4 linked regions of the Drosophila melanogaster genome follow. The protein of the gene in region 1 interacts with the protein of each later gene in a biochemical or structural test. Each region holds a gene or a part of one and is shown in the gene's direction. Other genes may lie near its edges. The genes, in order: ea, gd, Spn27A and Spn42Dd.

The links.
Region 2: of the proteins of ea (region 1) and gd, one has a biochemical effect on the other in vitro, tested with the Drosophila melanogaster proteins (one study listed by BioGRID).
Region 3: of the proteins of ea (region 1) and Spn27A, one has a biochemical effect on the other in vitro, tested with the Drosophila melanogaster proteins (one study listed by BioGRID).
Region 4: of the proteins of ea (region 1) and Spn42Dd, one has a biochemical effect on the other in vitro, tested with the Drosophila melanogaster proteins (one study listed by BioGRID).

Annotation. Positions count from the first base shown.
Region 1 is NT_033777.3:15,326,886-15,331,060, forward strand, and holds ea (easter), read left to right. Parts: upstream 1-1,843; 5' UTR 1,844-2,047; coding exon 2,048-2,108; intron 2,109-2,197; exon of another isoform or gene 2,198-2,294; coding exon 2,295-2,681; intron 2,682-2,745; coding exon 2,746-3,476; 3' UTR 3,477-3,523; downstream 3,524-4,175. Other genes in the region: CG6236 (uncharacterized protein), read right to left, coding at 1-428, 491-678, 745-895, 1,042-1,160; mRpL9 (mitochondrial ribosomal protein L9), read left to right, coding at 3,869-3,940, 3,998-4,175. UniProt on the Drosophila melanogaster protein: Component of the extracellular signaling pathway that establishes the dorsal-ventral pathway of the embryo.
Region 2 is NC_004354.4:11,984,884-11,989,652, reverse strand, and holds gd (gastrulation-defective), read left to right. Parts: upstream 1-1,888; 5' UTR 1,889-1,966; coding exon 1,967-2,179; intron 2,180-2,222; coding exon 2,223-2,382; intron 2,383-2,446; coding exon 2,447-2,603; coding exon of another isoform or gene 2,604-2,621; intron 2,622-2,682; coding exon 2,683-3,234; intron 3,235-3,356; coding exon 3,357-3,870; 3' UTR 3,871-4,119; downstream 4,120-4,769. Other genes in the region: tsg (twisted gastrulation), read left to right, coding at 741-1,490; cac (cacophony), read left to right, coding at 4,759-4,769. UniProt on the Drosophila melanogaster protein: Component of the extracellular signaling pathway that establishes the dorsal-ventral pathway of the embryo.
Region 3 is NT_033779.5:6,670,525-6,675,134, reverse strand, and holds Spn27A (serpin 27A), read left to right. Parts: upstream 1-1,787; 5' UTR 1,788-1,959; coding exon 1,960-3,303; 3' UTR 3,304-4,070; downstream 4,071-4,610. Other genes in the region: cort (cortex), read left to right, coding at 1-13, 73-335; CG34310 (uncharacterized protein), read right to left, coding at 610-829, 907-1,076; cup, read right to left, coding at 821-834.
Region 4 is NT_033778.4:6,881,402-6,885,511, forward strand, and holds Spn42Dd (serpin 42Dd), read left to right. Parts: upstream 1-1,878; 5' UTR 1,879-1,928; coding exon 1,929-1,941; exon of another isoform or gene 1,942-2,006; intron 2,007-2,212; coding exon 2,213-3,057; intron 3,058-3,115; coding exon 3,116-3,257; intron 3,258-3,327; coding exon 3,328-3,446; 3' UTR 3,447-3,472; downstream 3,473-4,110. Other genes in the region: Spn42Dc (serpin 42Dc), read left to right, coding at 362-1,237, 1,308-1,449, 1,519-1,712.

The DNA of each region.
Region 1 (4,175 bases):
CATTAAAGGAGGTCATATATCCCAGGCGGGCAAAATCCTTCCAAATCATAGGATACGAATCCACGCTGCCTGCCCCGGACAACCGCTTCCTTGTCTCCGGCAGCTCCAGTTCCGTGAAACCCGTCAGTAGGGGCACCAGCGCCTGTGGCGTACCATCGCCCACAATGTTATAGCCTTTGAGAACGGTGGCGCCCAACTGTTGGGTGAGATACTCGTAGGTCCTGGGCAGCTTGCGAATGAAGGCATTGCGACTCAGCGAATCGAAGCCAAACATGAGGACATTGTAGATGGGAGCTGTGGCCCCATCCTGCATCTGCTGCTGGGCCTGCGCAACCGCCTCGGGTGGTAGGACGGCCAAGTTCGGGGAGAAATTGGAGGCCGGTGGACGGGGCACCGTATCCCGTATTCCGTGGGCCATGCCAAACCAACTAAGTACATGAAGATCATTCTTTAAAGTATAGGCATAACTATAAAATAAGATAATGGTCACCTCTCGCCGCTGGAGGATCGACAGACCACCTTGACAAAGTCGCTGGCCTGCAGCACATAGGGCTCCTTCATGCGCAGTGACTGCCCAAAGCGAACCTTGTAGTCCGACTTGCGAATAATGTCCGTGTAGGAGCAGATCACATCCTCGTGGCTGGACGCAATCTCTGGTCGCACAAAGCAAATGGATTTCTTTGGGGGAAACGAGGTTTAAGTTAAGCAATCAGCTCTTGTAGAAGGGGCCCAGTCCCAACCAACCTCACACATGACCCAGTCCATGCCCTCGCCGCAGTTTATTCGCTCAACCGGCTTGTAGAACTTCATGATGTCCGGATTGTCCAGCGGCAGATGGGGATGCCGGCACTCGCCACGATTCACAGCCGATCTTATGGAGCGCTCGATGATTTCGCTTTAATTAAATACAAAATTGAATTAGTTGCAAAAGATAAATACTCTTTATCACAAATATGCGCATATGTACATATACATATGTATGGACAAACATCGTACAATCAATATCCCAAGCCGCTGTGACGCACAACTAGACATACTTACATTTTGAGGCTCTTATCCAGATCCCGCTCCACGTTCAACACATACCAGGTGACCAGCAGGACCACCACACAGCAACATGCTGCAATCTTGGGGACAGTTCCCCGCCGCACAAAGCGCATTTTGAATAAATTATGAGCTGCAAATATCGGACCAGACACATGAGACTTGCATTCGCATTATTGCTGCACATACAGCACTCACTCGGCACTCAAGCGACGTACTACTTACACCACTGCCGATCTCCAAACTTGCCGCCTATTCGACCTTTACTAAATATCCACGCTCATTTTTTAAATTAAACATTTAACTTATCACCAGCTGCGACGTACCGCTATATGCGAGTTGCCAAAACAGTGGCAAACAACATTGCGAATTCGGTCATACTGTGTTGTTTGGCAACGCGACCGCTGCAATTTAAACTGCGACTTTAAACTTTGCTTTAGGTCCGATTTAAAGTCGGTAGAACTTTCAGTTTGCTGTAGAACGAAATATACCGTTAGCTTATCGTTAATGATAGTGCTTTTTGCTATCAAAACACCATGTGATACAATCGAACTTAGGCGGGGATTAAATAATGGTAGATACTCCCTTAAATTTGCCGAGTACTTTACTTACACTCAGCATGTGACAAAGTAAATTCTATTAGTACCAAAGTTAAATAAGCCAACTGACAATTACTAAGAATAATAATTGGAAGAGAGATAAAGATCTGCTCCCACGATTATCTTCATATCTGATTTGGAGACTCGCCAAAAAGCTTGCGACAAAGCTCGCAGGCCGAGAACCGCGTCCGTCCGAAGATTCAGTTGTGCGCCAAGCTCAGCTTCGGCCTCTTCGTTTCACTCCGCTCCGCTGTGGCACCTGGTATCGTCCATATTATCGCGCCGTTTATTTTGATAACTGCTTCTGCGGTCGGTCTGTAATATTGTTTTTAGGCAAAACATTATCCGCAAACCACTGACGACGTCTTGAGAAAGGACTAACGAGGTCCGATTGCGCAACGAAAATGCTAAAGCCATCGATTATCTGCCTCTTTTTGGGCATTTTGGCGAAATCATCGGCGGGCCGTAAGTAAATAGAAGACTGCCAAGATGCTCATCTGCTGGACATGACTAGCTTAACGTATTTGTTTTTTTTTGCCGCGGGCCTTCACAAGTCGCTGGAAACCTGTTTCCGTACTTCCATAGCTAATGACCTAATTTATGTATTCACAATATTGGTAAGCTCTCTGAACCTAAAGTCTGGATTTCCAGAGTTCTACTTCCCCAACGAGGCGGCCCAGGTGCCCAACTATGGGCGCTGCATAACGCCGAATCGGGAGCGTGCGCTGTGCATCCATCTGGAGGACTGCAAGTACCTATACGGCCTGCTGACCACCACCCCGCTCCGGGACACGGACCGGCTTTACCTGAGTCGCAGCCAGTGCGGCTATACGAACGGCAAGGTGCTCATCTGCTGTCCGGACCGCTACAGGGAGAGCTCATCGGAGACGACGCCACCGCCCAAGCCCAATGTAACCAGCAACAGCCTTCTGCCGCTGCCAGGACAATGCGGCAACATCCTGTCCAATCGCATCTATGGCGGAATGAAGACCAAGATCGACGAGTTCCCCTGGATGGCTCTAATTGAATACACCAAAAGTAAGTAGAGGGGCATCGTCTTAAGTCTGAACGCACTTATCCACTGGTTAATTCCTACATGCAGGCCAGGGCAAAAAGGGTCACCATTGCGGCGGATCCTTGATCAGCACAAGATATGTGATCACAGCCTCGCATTGTGTCAACGGAAAGGCACTGCCCACCGACTGGCGGTTGTCCGGTGTTCGTTTGGGCGAATGGGACACCAACACTAATCCCGATTGCGAAGTAGATGTGCGCGGCATGAAGGACTGCGCGCCACCGCATCTGGACGTGCCCGTGGAGCGTACTATACCCCATCCCGACTATATACCGGCCTCCAAGAACCAGGTCAACGACATAGCCCTGCTGCGTCTGGCCCAGCAGGTGGAGTACACCGACTTTGTGCGACCCATTTGCCTGCCTCTGGACGTCAATCTGCGGTCGGCCACCTTCGACGGCATCACCATGGACGTGGCCGGCTGGGGCAAAACGGAGCAGCTGTCGGCCAGCAACCTCAAGCTGAAGGCAGCCGTGGAGGGATTCCGGATGGATGAGTGCCAGAACGTCTACAGCAGCCAGGACATTCTCCTCGAGGACACACAGATGTGTGCCGGCGGCAAGGAAGGCGTCGACTCCTGTCGCGGTGACTCCGGGGGACCGCTCATCGGCTTGGACACCAACAAGGTGAACACCTACTACTTCCTGGCCGGCGTCGTGTCATTTGGACCGACTCCGTGCGGTCTGGCCGGATGGCCAGGAGTTTACACGCTGGTGGGCAAGTACGTTGATTGGATACAAAACACTATTGAGTCCTGATTGTAAAATGTCATATTGTAAATAAATTCGACTAACGGTTTCCGTTTAAAAACTGCTTCACAGCGTGTACGCATACTGCATGTCGATGGGCGCGTTCGCCGAAATATTGGCATAGTCAATCTTTTATTTTGTAATGAAACTATTAAATTAAAATTGACAGTCATAATACTTTCAAAGGTACATTTTTTTTAATCAATTAAAAGGTAAATTGGGCAAATTATTTTGCTTTATTAAAATGTAAAGAAATAGTTGCAATAAAAAAACTAAATTCATAATCGTTTTCAAAGTCACTGAAAATTTTACTGCTGAACTCACGCAGATTAAATAATCATATCTGGCAACACTGCAAACTGGCTGAGTAGTCTGGCAACGCAGACATATTGGTGGTAAAAATGTTGAAGAACATCTACGTAACGCCGTTAAATTTGCTTAAATCGGCCACCAGCCTGCAGCAGCAAGTGCGGGTAAGTGCTCTCCTGGATTAGGGAAGCGATCCCCATTCACCACCAATTTGCTTCCAGACCACGTTCGTCCTGAAGCGCAAATATGACCCGCCGCTGCACAAAACCAACGAGAAACCCCGCCGGATGAGGGCCAAGAACTTCATCTACGAGCTCGTGGACGACACGCTGGTCAAAAAGCGGCCCAACATCGAGGTGGTGCTAAAGACCTTCGTCGAGGGCGTTGGCGACAAGGGCG
Region 2 (4,769 bases), on another chromosome or scaffold:
TATTTAAATTCCAATCGATTTGGGTTATAATTTGAGGAAAATTTTTTTTTTTTAATTTTTTTCGCATTTTGATACCTTACGAAAATGCAAAAATTGATCTTAAAATTAATTTCTTAGTATCCGCTTAAAAATGATATGGATCTTTAGCATTGGTAATTATCTGAGCGAAACTGTTTTTCTTTTAGCCATGTGATGATTTTTGGCCAAGTTATAAATTATGGCATTTTTGCCAAATGTCGTTTTTCTGACTTCCCTTAACATAATATATCGATTTTTGGCCAAAACACTTAACAAATTGTAATTATACCTGTTAAGTCCTTAGAGCCAATAATACCTGTTTGCGGTTAAGATTTAGGATTAAGAATCTGCATTTTGTTTTAGCCAACCAATGGACTTTATTTATGTTACCTAATTGGCTTATTTTATAACGGTTCGTATTAGTCAATAATACAGGTAATGTTTGCGTGTTTAATCCTAGAAGCTGCCTTAAAAGTAAGGCTATTTTGAGATGATCATCCCTTATTTTGGCACATTTTATAGGAGAAGTTACCTCTAAATGGTTTTAAATGACCAGCCTGCCTGCTGAGGGTCACTACCTGATTTTCGCGACACGAGGATTAGCGGATTGTGGTAAGGATGAGCCATCTACCTGACCATCTGGATACTAATATTAAAAAAACATATAAAGGCATGCCGCAATCGTGGATAATGTATCATAAGGCCGCGAGATCTCGTCGAGAATGCAGTTACTGTGCTACTTCGTCATCCTTTTCGTTGGAATCGCACCGTGGTCATCCTTGGCCAACGATGATGGATGCAACGAAGTGGTCTGCGGATCGGTGGTATCCAAGTGCCTCATCACCCAGAGCTGCCAGTGCAAGTTAAATGACTGCCACTGCTGCAAGGACTGTCTAAATTGCCTTGGCGAACTGTACATCGAGTGCTGTGGCTGCCTCGACATGTGTCCCAAGCACAAGGATGTCCTGCCCTCGCTGACGCCGCGCTCGGAGATTGGAGACATTGAAGGAGTGCCCGAGCTGTTCGACACCCTAACCGCCGAGGATGACGAGGGATGGTCCACCATAAGGTTCTCCATGCGAGCCGGCTTCAAGCAGCGCGTTCAGGGCGGCGCGAGTGGTGATGCCGGAAACGGAAATGGAAATGGAAATGCCGGGTCTGCAGGTGTCACCCTATGCACCGTGATCTATGTGAACTCGTGCATTCGGGCAAACAAGTGCCGGCAGCAGTGCGAGAGCATGGGAGCCAGTAGCTATCGATGGTTCCACGACGGATGCTGCGAGTGCGTCGGCGAGAATTGCCTCAATTATGGAATCAACGAGAGTCGCTGCCGCGGTTGTCCGGAGGATCAGGACCAACTGCTTACCGCCGATACCGTTCCGGCGGAGGCTGAACAGGATCTGGAGCGATTCTTTGGCAACGAGGAGATCGAGGACGAGTGGGGCTATGGCGAGGAGGATGAATTTTCCTAATAGCACAGATAATTTCAAATAAATGTGGTTCTTCAAATTGGAGCTTGGACCTCATCATAGCAAACGATCTCTTTGTAAATACCCATGTAAAATACCCATGTAAAAATAGCAAGGCATTTGCTAATTTAAGTTTTTATAAAAAAAAGACAACAATAAACTTGGAAATTATAAAAATATTCCTTTTAGTTCTAACAGTGGATCCAGTAAATGTTTCGTAGAATCCATATTTGTGGGATATAATTAATTTGTAAAGTTTTTTGAAATTTGAACTTGCACGGAATTGAGAATTTAAAGGATCAATTTCCCCTCTCTCATTTTAATTAACAGGGGTTACTTTCTTGGTCTGGCAACTCTGTTGGTGGATAAAATGCACACAGTGTTCCCGGACTGTTAAAGCTTCGATCGAAATTGCGGCATTGTTTACGTTTGTTTTGAGTGAAAAGCATTTTCATCCCGGGCATTCCCAGACACTAGCGATGAGGCTGCACCTGGCGGCGATCCTGATCCTCTGCATCGAGCACGTAACCAAGGCAGTCGCCCAGGGAATGCCGATCAGTCCGTGCCCCAAGGTGTTTCAGTACCGCTTCGACGGCAGCGAATGGTTCGGCCTGATGGCCGTGCGCAGTCCGGATGGCCACCAGCCGCTCCACATACGAGTTACGCTCTCGATGCGTGGCAAGCCCACCACGGTAAGTGGTATATTGTCATCCAGATGTTACCTAATCCCCTTAGTACACACAGAACTATCTGGGCGAAATCGAGCTACTCACACGCGGCAAGTTTACCCACAATGCACCGGTGCTGTATAAGATCCGCTTTCCCAAACATCACTTCCCGCCCAAACTGCTCCTCATGTCAGCCAACAATCATGTGATCTGCTTCGGATCCGGCGGTGCGTATCCACGGAACTTGGGTAGCAAACGATTTAATCCATGACTTGTTTGCCCGCACCACAGAGCACAGCATCTTCATGACCCAAATCCAGTTGGAGCACATTAGGAAGTTGTCCTTTATACCGGATAAGAAGAGCTCCCTGCTGCTAGATCCCGAGGAGGAGGAGGTGAGAAAAACCGACGACAAGCCGCCCAGTACGCCGCACATCCAGTTCAAGAAGTATGCATCCGGATTTTGGTCGGTTAAAACACACACACGATCGTGACATTCATTCGTTACTTAATGTCCGCTTTTGTAGAAAACCCTTTGCCCAGGCGCCCAAGGAGATTTGCGGACGCATCGACAGGGATCTGGACTTTCACTTGTCCCAAAGAACGGAATCACTTCATGTCGCAATCGGTGAACCAAAGAGCTCCGATGGCATCACATCGCCAGTTTTTGTCGATGACGATGAAGACGATGTCCTGGAGCATCAGTTTGTGGACGAATCAGAAGCAGAAGCGATAGAAAGCGATAGCGCCGATAGCCTGCCATCGATCACCAGGGGATCGTGGCCTTGGCTAGCGGCCATCTATGTGAACAACCTGACCTCCCTGGACTTTCAGTGCGGCGGTTCGCTTGTCTCGGCACGCGTTGTAATCAGCTCGGCGCACTGCTTCAAGTTGTTCAACAAGCGCTACACATCCAACGAGGTGCTCGTCTTTCTGGGCCGCCACAATCTGAAGAACTGGAACGAGGAGGGATCTCTGGCGGCCCCCGTCGATGGCATTTACATTCATCCCGACTTTAACAGTCAGCTGAGCAGCTACGATGCGGATATCGCAGTGATTATACTCAAGGACGAAGTTCGGTGGGTGCCAATATGCCTAAAGCTTACATATTCAAGATTTAGATTCATATCTAAACCGCGATGTGAAATCGAATATGAAGATCATTTATTATATTGACAGTATACCATTATTTTCAACGCAGATTTAACACCTTTATTCGACCCGCTTGCCTGTGGTCTGGTTCCAGCAAAACGGAGTACATTGTGGGCGAGCGGGGCATCGTCATCGGCTGGAGCTTTGACAGAACGAACAGGACGCGGGATCAGAAGCTGTCGTCGGAGCTACCGGGCAAGAAGTCCACCGATGCCAGTGCACCCAAGGTAGTAAAGGCTCCCATTGTCGGCAATGCCGAATGCTTTCGAGCCAATGCCCACTTTCGCAGCCTATCCTCAAACCGAACGTTTTGCGCCGGCATCCAGGCGGAGGAACGAGATACGCATCAGAGCGGGGCGAGCATTTACACCGGTATATCGGGGGCCGGACTTTTCATCCGCCGGAACAATCGCTGGATGCTGCGTGGCACAGTATCAGCGGCCCTGCCCGCCGTAGAGACACCGGATGCGGAATCTAGCCATAAGCTTTGCTGTAAGAATCAGTACATTATATATGCCGACGTGGCCAAGTTTCTGGACTGGATCACGGCCTTTGTAATTTGAATCACATCCGAAATGTGTATGGGAACGCATTTCTAAGTGAGCGCTGTGATAATAGCCCCTTGGGCATGGCGATGGGCAAAAGTTACTCGGAGTAATTAGCGGTTATCGGTTTTTTCTTTTTTTTTTTTTGCTAGTTTCATTACGAAAACTTCTGATTATGGCATTTCAGTTTTATTTTTATCTAAGACAGTAGGGCAATTCAAATAATAAATTATGGCACGGGAAAGCCAAAAAGGAATTTTCCCATAGAATCGCTGCGCTTTTAGATCTCCACCATAATATTAACATTAAAAATCTCGAAATTTGCAATGTTTAAATTCCTCTGACCACATATAGAAAACGTGTATGTTGAAAGAATCACAGGTATGTTTGATATCGAAATTAATTGTAATACAGTAACGTTTACCATGCCTTTGTTATCAGTGTGTTGTTGGCGCTCGTGAACAAAGGAAGCTGCTAATATGCCGGAGTGGGCGGCCTGGCCCGTCTGAGCGGCGTTCACCCATGGACACCTGGACACCCTAATTACCAGCGGCAGACACTGTACTGCGCAAATGCTGACTACTATCAAGCACGTCATCGCACGTCATCAGCCGCAATCGTCGTCATCGCCATCTGGGCCGTTATCTATCTTGCTGGGTTGTTGGGGCATCGACAGCAGTCGTAGCCATCGACTATCAGTTCCGTCCGGACCGTGGCAGCTGGTGCATCACACCTGGGGCTCTGGGCCCGTCGTCTACGGACATTCGCAATCGTTGAAGATCCCCAAACAAGTGCAACGCATTGTATTGTGAACGTGCCCGATAGTTGGTAGTGAATATATTACAGAAATGGCAATATTTGGAGTACATTTCGCGTATTGCAAAGTTCGATTCATCGATTCCCAGAATGCTGGGCGG
Region 3 (4,610 bases), on another chromosome or scaffold:
GTTATTCGGCGTGGTGAGAACTGCACTGGATCCTTAATGCTTGCTAAAAATAATGTATTCTAATATCTACAGATGATGCGGACCTTGCAGTGTGCGAAATTCTGGTCTTGGCCTCCTTAAACCGCGTGGTTGACTTGATGTCCCATCAGGATCGCGGCACCCTCTTCCTGATGTGGAATCCGGATGGAACGAAAATTGCCACCGGCGGACTGGACGACACCTTTTCGCTGTGGAACTTCTTTCCCACCTATAAGCGCGAGGCGATATTGAGAAAGCAAGAGCAAAAGGCCAAGGACAAGTGCAGCTCCCTGAGCCTGTACAAAGGCATACGGTGAACAGAGCACAGTGATTTTTAATTGTTTATGTTTCTAGTCTTTTATTCAAACCATTTGTGCTTTTCATTATTTATTCAATTCATATTACTTTCATAAAAAATCCATTCTGTTTAACTCTAAAATGAACACAAGAAGATGGGCCTCTCCACCCAAAGTGAAGGTAAGAAAGTAAAAGTCCATTCATTGTTCACCATGTTACAGCGTTGAAATTTGGTAACTAATCACTAGGCTATAAGTATGTAAAGATGTCTATGACGGCACTGGCAGCCTTGGCTCAATATTCGCTCCGTTTGGGTCTTGACTCGCCAATCTGGGAGTGAACCTCCTGCTGGAAGAGGTACTCCGCACTGGCCTCGGCTTCCAGGCGTCGTTTCTCGAGAAGATAGGGTTTGATGACAAGGCGATGGGTGGTGTAGAATATAACAGTCGATCCAATACCGATGGCCATCAGACCAACCGTCGTTGTGGCGAATCTTTTGAAGCCGTTAATGAAACTCATCTGTGGGCGAGAACGGAATTCAATTAATATATGACTTTAGCCAGCAGATTAGGGTTTAGTGTGCGGGCTAACTTTGTGGTTCCACTAGTTTCAGTTACTGCTGGCGTTTCTGCCTCGGTTTTCTTCTCGTTTTTGTACTTCAAAATCAGCGGTTGCCAAATGTAAATACCGCCTAGCAGCCCAATGGCCGTGACCACCATCAATTGCGGAACAGTGACACCACGCGGACGACGAATTTGCATGGCACGTGCGGTTACTTTGGCTATTTATATTTATTTCTCATTAAATGCACAAGTTTCTTTCGCCGGCTGCTGTTACATCAACGCACCATGAGAATTTATTTCAGATCAGCTGTTTTGTTTAGCCGACACTTACCAACACTGAGTTCTATAATAGTTGTCAGCGTGGCCAGACTATCCCCGACACAACTTAAGCTTATTTGAAATTCAAATTTCTATTAATAGCTATTCATAAACTGGCTTGAGTATTTGCAGCGGGCGTGAAAGAAACTGTGACGTAGTTTAAGAATAATAACATTTGCAAACTTTCCTCTTTGATGACTATGCAATAATTCACAAATAGCTGAAGTGGGGAAAGCCTAATAAAGGCGGATATTGTTCGCAACTAATTTGTACAAAATAACAAAATAACATTCATAATGATGAATGATCCTTAAATATTTGTATAGGTTTTTTGGTTAATCCTGTCAATACAGGCATGGAAATTCTCTGAGTGCACTGATGCACTGTATAGTCTAGTCGTTTCCCTTCACTTCCCTCATCACTTAACCACACTCATCACTTTGCGATAATGACGTACGTATGCTTTGGGAGTCCCAACAAAAAAAACACACATGCGCTGCCCCGTCGACGCGGCAGCACAGCAGCAGAGGACGGCGTCAAGAGCGGCTTGAAGCTGGAGCTCGATTTTAAAATGGCCAGCCCGCTCGGCGCACCAGTCACTCTCAGTTGGAACGGCGCGTGAAACGGTTATCGCTCGCTCCACCGGCGCTCTCTCGCCGCTCGCCCCACCAAAGCCCGCATTTAACAGTTGTTTTGCTGCGAATAAGAGGCTGAAAGCAAAGACCCGAGGAAGATCGAGACGCAGAAGCTTAGGGAAGCACAGATGACAAAGATGGGCGGAAATTTGGCAGTGATGCTGCTGTCGCTGTTTTTGAGTGCGTTAGCCACGGGCAACGGCAACTCCATACCGACGACCACGACGCCCCAGGGCGTATTCGAAACCCGTACGGACAAGCTGCCCGGTGGCGCTGCCAGCGTGCCCAGTGGAGCGGGTATCTACGACGATATAGATACCTTTGTGCCCTTCCGGAGCGACTCGCACGATCCGTTCTCATGGCATCTACTGAAGACGGTGCTGCAGAACGAGACAGCCGACAAGAATGTGATCATCTCGCCGTTCTCCGTCAAACTGGTGCTGGCCCTGCTGGCTGAGGCGGCCGGAGCCGGAACCCAGACGCAAGTGGAGCTGGCCAACACGCAAACAGACATTCGATCGCAAAATAATGTGCGGGAGTTCTACCGCAAGACACTTAATTCCTTCAAGAAGGAGAACCAGCTCCACGAGACGCTCAGTGTGCGCACCAAGCTCTTCACGGACAGCTTCATCGAGACACAGCAGAAGTTCACGGCCACGCTGAAACACTTCTACGACAGCGAGGTGGAGGCGCTAGACTTCACCAATCCCGAGGCGGCGGCAGATGCCATCAACGCCTGGGCCGCCAACATCACGCAGGGCAGACTTCAGCAGCTAGTAGCCCCGGACAACGTGCGCAGCAGCGTAATGTTGCTGACCAATCTGATCTACTTCAACGGTCTGTGGCGGCGGCAGTTTGCCACCACATTCCAGGGATCCTTCTTCCGCAGCAAGGACGACCAGTCGCGGGCGGAGTTCATGGAGCAGACCGACTACTTCTACTACACCACCTCGGAGAAGCTGAAGGCGCAGATTCTGCGTCTGCCCTACAAGGGCAAGAACTCCCTGTTCGTCCTGCTGCCCTACGCCCTGAATGGCATCCATGACTTGGTCAAGAACCTGGAAAACGACGAGCTAAAGAGCGCTCAGTGGGCCATGGAGGAGGTGAAAGTGAAGGTGACGCTGCCCAAGTTCCATTTCGACTACCAGCAGAACCTTAAGGAGACGTTGCGCAGCCTGGGTGTGCGCGAAATCTTTGAGGACAGCGCCTCGCTGCCGGGATTAACCCGCGGCGCTGATGTCGCCGGCAAAGTAAAGGTGTCTAACATCCTGCAGAAGGCCGGCATTAATGTGAACGAGAAGGGAACGGAGGCCTACGCAGCCACCGTTGTGGAGATCGAAAACAAGTTCGGTGGCAGCACCGCCATCGAGGAATTCAACGTAAACCGGCCGTTTGTGTTCTTTATCGAGGAGGAGTCCACTGGTAACATACTGTTTGCCGGCAAAGTCCACTCACCCACCACCCAGAACTAAGCCTCTCAGGCGGTTTTATCTTTAAATACGCAATAAATATACAAACAAATGAGAGTCTCTGCGCTTCAGTTAACCTTAATATGATGTGAAAAGTGTTGCAAGTGGATAAGCTTTCTAATACATTTTGCTGAATCCTACAAACGAGAAACGAATCTGTGCTCTTGACCCCTTTTTCAGTAATCGTGCGTGGCGACGATTCCCCCAGCGAGTCGGTTCCCATCTACAGGCCACAACATTCCGCTGGCTGATAAAGCCACTGGTGCTGTCGTTAAATGTTTGTTTTTATATTTATGCCTCGCCCAGGCATGCCACGAACAATTGAAAGCAAAAGGCAGCAATCAAGTGAGAGATGCAAATACCTGCTAACTCTGGGAATGTCCCACGAACGTAACATCGGCAATATCCAATGGGGAGATCGATGGGTAACCGATTGCGCACATAGTCGACGGCAAATAGAACCCATGACTCAGGGGGCTGGCTGAGATGTTGTTCGACTGGGAAATCTTAAGTTTGCGTAGTTAGCCACGTTCTGGTGATCTCTTGAACAAACAAGGAAGCCAGCTAAGCTTGGGAATTTAAGCGCAGCTTAGAAACAAGTATATGATAAAGTTTGTTAGCTTAATACAATTCAATTGCTATTCATCAATGAAATCATTATAAAAGTCCTAATGTTTTCTAGGGCTAAACGATGTATTAACGAAAAGTGTAAACAAGGTCTATTAGTTTAAAAGAAAAAACATATATATATATATATATTAAGCTCGACTAAATGCCCTATCTCTCATGTTTTATTTATCTTTCTGATTCGAAACTCCAGCCAGCTCATCCTTGTAGAGGCGTTCAAGTGATAATCTGAATCAACAGCTTGTAAATATATCGCAGATGTGATCAAGTGCATTGCAAAGTGTGCAATGTTTGCAGTAACAAAAACCCGTTTACAGATAATACGTGAAAGTGGTCATCAAAGTGCATATTTGCTCTGCTTTCGAAAAATCAGCCTGAAAATTGACCGTCTGACTCAGACACATAAGCGAAATACCAAGAAGGGGAGGCCATTAGGCAGCTTATTAACTATAATATTACCGTAAATGATAACAACTCAGCACAAATGTAAAAATATAAATTTCCTCCCTTGGGTATTAACCCGACTTTTAGAACTATGACCATAACGCTGTCAAGAAACTACAAATCTAACTGTTATATGTGATGACTTTGCTTTCAAAGCACAAATGATAGGGTAAACTTAACGGAGAGTACCCACTGTACGATTGTATCATAATATAATAGATCTTCTAAATTAGGTACTA
Region 4 (4,110 bases), on another chromosome or scaffold:
GTTCTAGTTGACTTCACTTTACTTTCTACATCGGTTCTATTAAAAATATAATAGGGAATTATTATTATTATTTTAAAATAAATAGTAGCACCTAGTAGCAGTTGTAAGCTAATACGTCATTCTGGGATTTCGGATTTATTTTTAATTAGCATAGGCAATTTTGAAAATGTTTTATTTTATTAAAGATTGAATCCGAATTCGAAATTGTTCTGGATTGATCAAGTTGGCGCTTAACAGCTGGCGATAATGCCAAATGAGATAATGAGATTTGGCCCGAAAATGTCTTATTTTTGTATACTTATGTTACATTTAAGTATTTAAAAATATAAATTAAAACATATATTTTTTTGCCCAGATCGAGATGAGCGAACCCCAAGAAGGCAGAAATCAGTTTGCGCGAAATCTGATAGATGTCATTACCAAAGATGCCCTGCAACAGAGCAAAGACCCCCACATAAATACGGTTTTCTCTCCAGCATCCGTCCAAAGTGCATTGACCTTGGCATTTATGGGGGCTTCCGGATCTACAGCAGAGGAGCTAAGGAATGGGCTTCAGCTAGGACCAGGAGATCGCCATCACATAGCCCTAAACTTCGGAGAGTTCTGGCGCACGAGCTGTAACTACGGCGACAGGGGACCCGTGTTGAAGTCCGTGAACCGATTGTACGTCAACGATTCCTTGGAACTGCTTACCGAGTTCAACGAGATCGCCGTGGACTTCTTCCAGTCGAAGGCCGAGGCGACGAGGTTCGCCGATTCGGAGGGAGCTACGCAGCTGATCAACGACTGGGTGGAACAGGAGACGGAGCATAAGATCACCAACCTGCTTCAATCGGATGCCGTGAACAACGAAACGAGCGCCCTGCTCATCAATGTCTTGTACTTTAAGGGAAAGTGGCAGAAACCATTTATGCCAGAGACCACATCGATTGACCATTTCCACGTGGACCGGGACACTCACGTGCAGGTGAATATGATGTACCAAGAGGACAAGTTCCGGTTCGCAGAACTGCCACAGCTGAAGGCTCGAGCTGTGCAACTGCCCTATGATTACTCAAACATTCACATGCTAATTCTGCTGCCCAACGAAGTAAACGGTCTGCAGGAGTTAGAGCAGCAACTCAACACCGTGGATCTAGCCGATATTGACGCAGCGCTGACCTTGCAGGATGTCGAGATCTTTCTGCCCAGGATGTGCATAGAGTACGACGTGGACCTCAAGCAGGTACTTAATCAGGTAAGATACATTTAACCGATAATAGTGGCTTTGTTTTAATAACAATGTAATATCTGATATTTATTCTCAGCTGGGTATTACGGAAGTCTTCAGCGATAAGGCCAAGCTAGACGGGCTCTTTACCTCGCAAAGTGGCCAAAAAATCTCGGCAGCAAGGCACCGCGGCTACATCGACGTAAATGAGGCAGGATCGGAGGCAGCAGCAGTCAGTTGTAAGTGAAATCAGCTGCTTGCAACTCAAACTTGCTCGTACTAATCTCAACTCTGATTCCCACACTCAGTCATGAAGATAGTACCCATGATGCTCAACATGAACAAGAAGCTCTTCAAGGCGGATCACCCGTTCGTCTTTTACATACGAAACCCGCAGGCCGTCTTCTTCGCCGGCCGATTCTCGAACCCCAAGTCTGGATCTGGATCAGGAGAGGAGGGCTTGTCACGGGAAGGTTTCGATGCCAACATGTACAATGTCTAAGAACAGCAGTGAGACCGAATAGAACTCAGCTATGAAATCCCACTAGACGTCATTGGATTTCAATCCGAGAGAGCTGTGTGCGCAGTTCTCAGTAACGTAATGAAGTATCGCCAGTAGGTACATATATGTCCAGTGCATATATGAGCTCGTCTTGGCACTCGGCGCTCAGTTTACAGAGATACTTATCTCGGGGAAGAGTTCGTTGTAGACGGTCAAATGTATTACTTGTGTAAGTGGCGATCGCTTATAGCCAGTGAATTAAAATACAAAGCAATAAATTACCTATAATAACTTATGATTTAAATTAAATTCATAGAAAATAATAAAACAATATGGTGAAGACGTTTGCTATGGCATTAACTTTTAACTTACAAAGACTATCCGCTTTCGTTGAATTCGATTTGCTTTAGTCTGTAAAAGTAAAAAATATCAAGTTTAATATGCATGAACAGAATTTCCGAACGCTGAAAACGAATTGATAATTAACATCCCCAAACTAGGCATTTTCCTGTGGGTCACTTCAGTGGCATGTCAGACCTCCAAAGAGATCTACCAACTACTTTCCAAGAGCCATACAAACCAGAACCTCGTCGTCTCGCCCGTCTCCATAGAGACCATCCTTAGCATGGTCTTCATGGGCGCAGAAGGCTCGACGGCCAAGGAGCTGCAGAGCGCCTTAGGTTTACCATCGGAGGACAAAGAGGCGGTGGCAGCCAGGTACGGTGCTCTCCTCAACGATCTTCAGGGACAGGAGGAGGGACCCATACTAAAGCTCGCGAATCGCATCTACGTCAACGACCAGTACAGCCTGAATCAGAACTACAACCTCGCTGTGAGGGAACCCTTCAAGTCCGAGGCGGAGTCCATTAGTCTGACCAATGGCCCTGTGGCGGCCGAGAGAATCAACCAGTGGGTGCTGGATCAGACCAGTGGTAAAATCAAGGGCATGATCGATCCCGGCAGCATGACGTCCGACGTGAAGGCCTTGCTGGTGAACGCCATCTACTTTAAGGGCCAGTGGGAGTCGAAGTTTGACCCAGCTAAGACCAGAGCCTCCACCTTCCAAGTAACTGCGAACAAGAGTGTGCCCGTCCAGATGATGGCGCAAATGGGAACATTCAGGGCTAACTACTTCCGCGATCTAGATGCCCAAGTCATCGAGCTGCCGTACCTTAACTCCAACCTGTCCATGACTATCTTTCTGCCCCGAGAAGTGGAGGGCTTGAGCGCCCTGGAAGAGAAGATCGTTGGCTTCGCCAGGCCGCTGGTTGCCAAGGAGGTCTATCTTAAGCTGCCCAAGTTTAAAATCGAATTTCGTGATGAACTCAAAGAGACCTTAGAGAAGGTAAGACTCCGTCAAGAAAAACACGGTTGTGCCACTTTGACGCTCGATTCTATTTAAGCTGGGCATCCGAGAGCTATTCACCGACAAGTCAGACTTAAGCGGCTTGTTCGCCGATAAGTCAGGCGGCAAAGTCAGTCAGGTCTCGCACAAGGCGTTTCTGGAGGTGAACGAGGAGGGAGCGGAGGCCGCAGGTGCCACATGTAAGTACCGATTTGGTTATCAGCGTCGAATGTTGACTCCTATATACTCACTGTTCCCAATGATTCCCAGCTGTGGCCGTCACAAATCGAGCGGGATTTTCTACGTTCCTCATGGCCGATCATCCCTTTGCCTTCGTCATTCGCGATGCGAACACCATATATTTCCAGGGGCGTGTTGTAAGCCCTTGAATAAATAAAAACAATATTTAAATTTTAAATTAAAATTCCAAGCGGAGTGATTACATTTTAAGTTAAGGATCAATGTGGACAGCAGTCCACGTTGTGACGGAAGGGTAACGCAGCGAAGGTAGGTTGTCCAGTAGGTTGGTAATAGGGAGTAGAAGTGGTATTTTGCCAAAAATAAAAAGTGTAATGATTTCTGATTCTTCGTTCGGAAAAGTTTCAAATATGTTAATTTTAACTCATTTAAATACGCCATGTATTTTAAGTGTCCTGGTGAACCGAGCGATTTTATTATTATTATATATTAAAAAAAAACGACTAGTTTAGCGGAGAAAAAACACTAAAAAGTTAAACATCCACCACCAATGAACCTAGAAGCATTCGATAAAAGTCGTTAAAAAGGCAATTTAAAACACTATTCTCGGTTCCTAAACGTATTATGTCTAAATACCACAGATAAAAAACAAGTGAAAAGCCTTTCTCGAGTCCCTCGCGTACCTGCAAATTGGAAGTGGTATGTATGTGATATTCGAGCTACTCGACTACGGCGGTCTCTCCAGTTTTTAATAAACAAAATTGATATTTTTAAGCCGATACTAACGTAAAAAAAAAGTAAAAAGACATTCACATGCTAGCGATGGACTTAAAATCTCTTGGGAAACAGAAATTA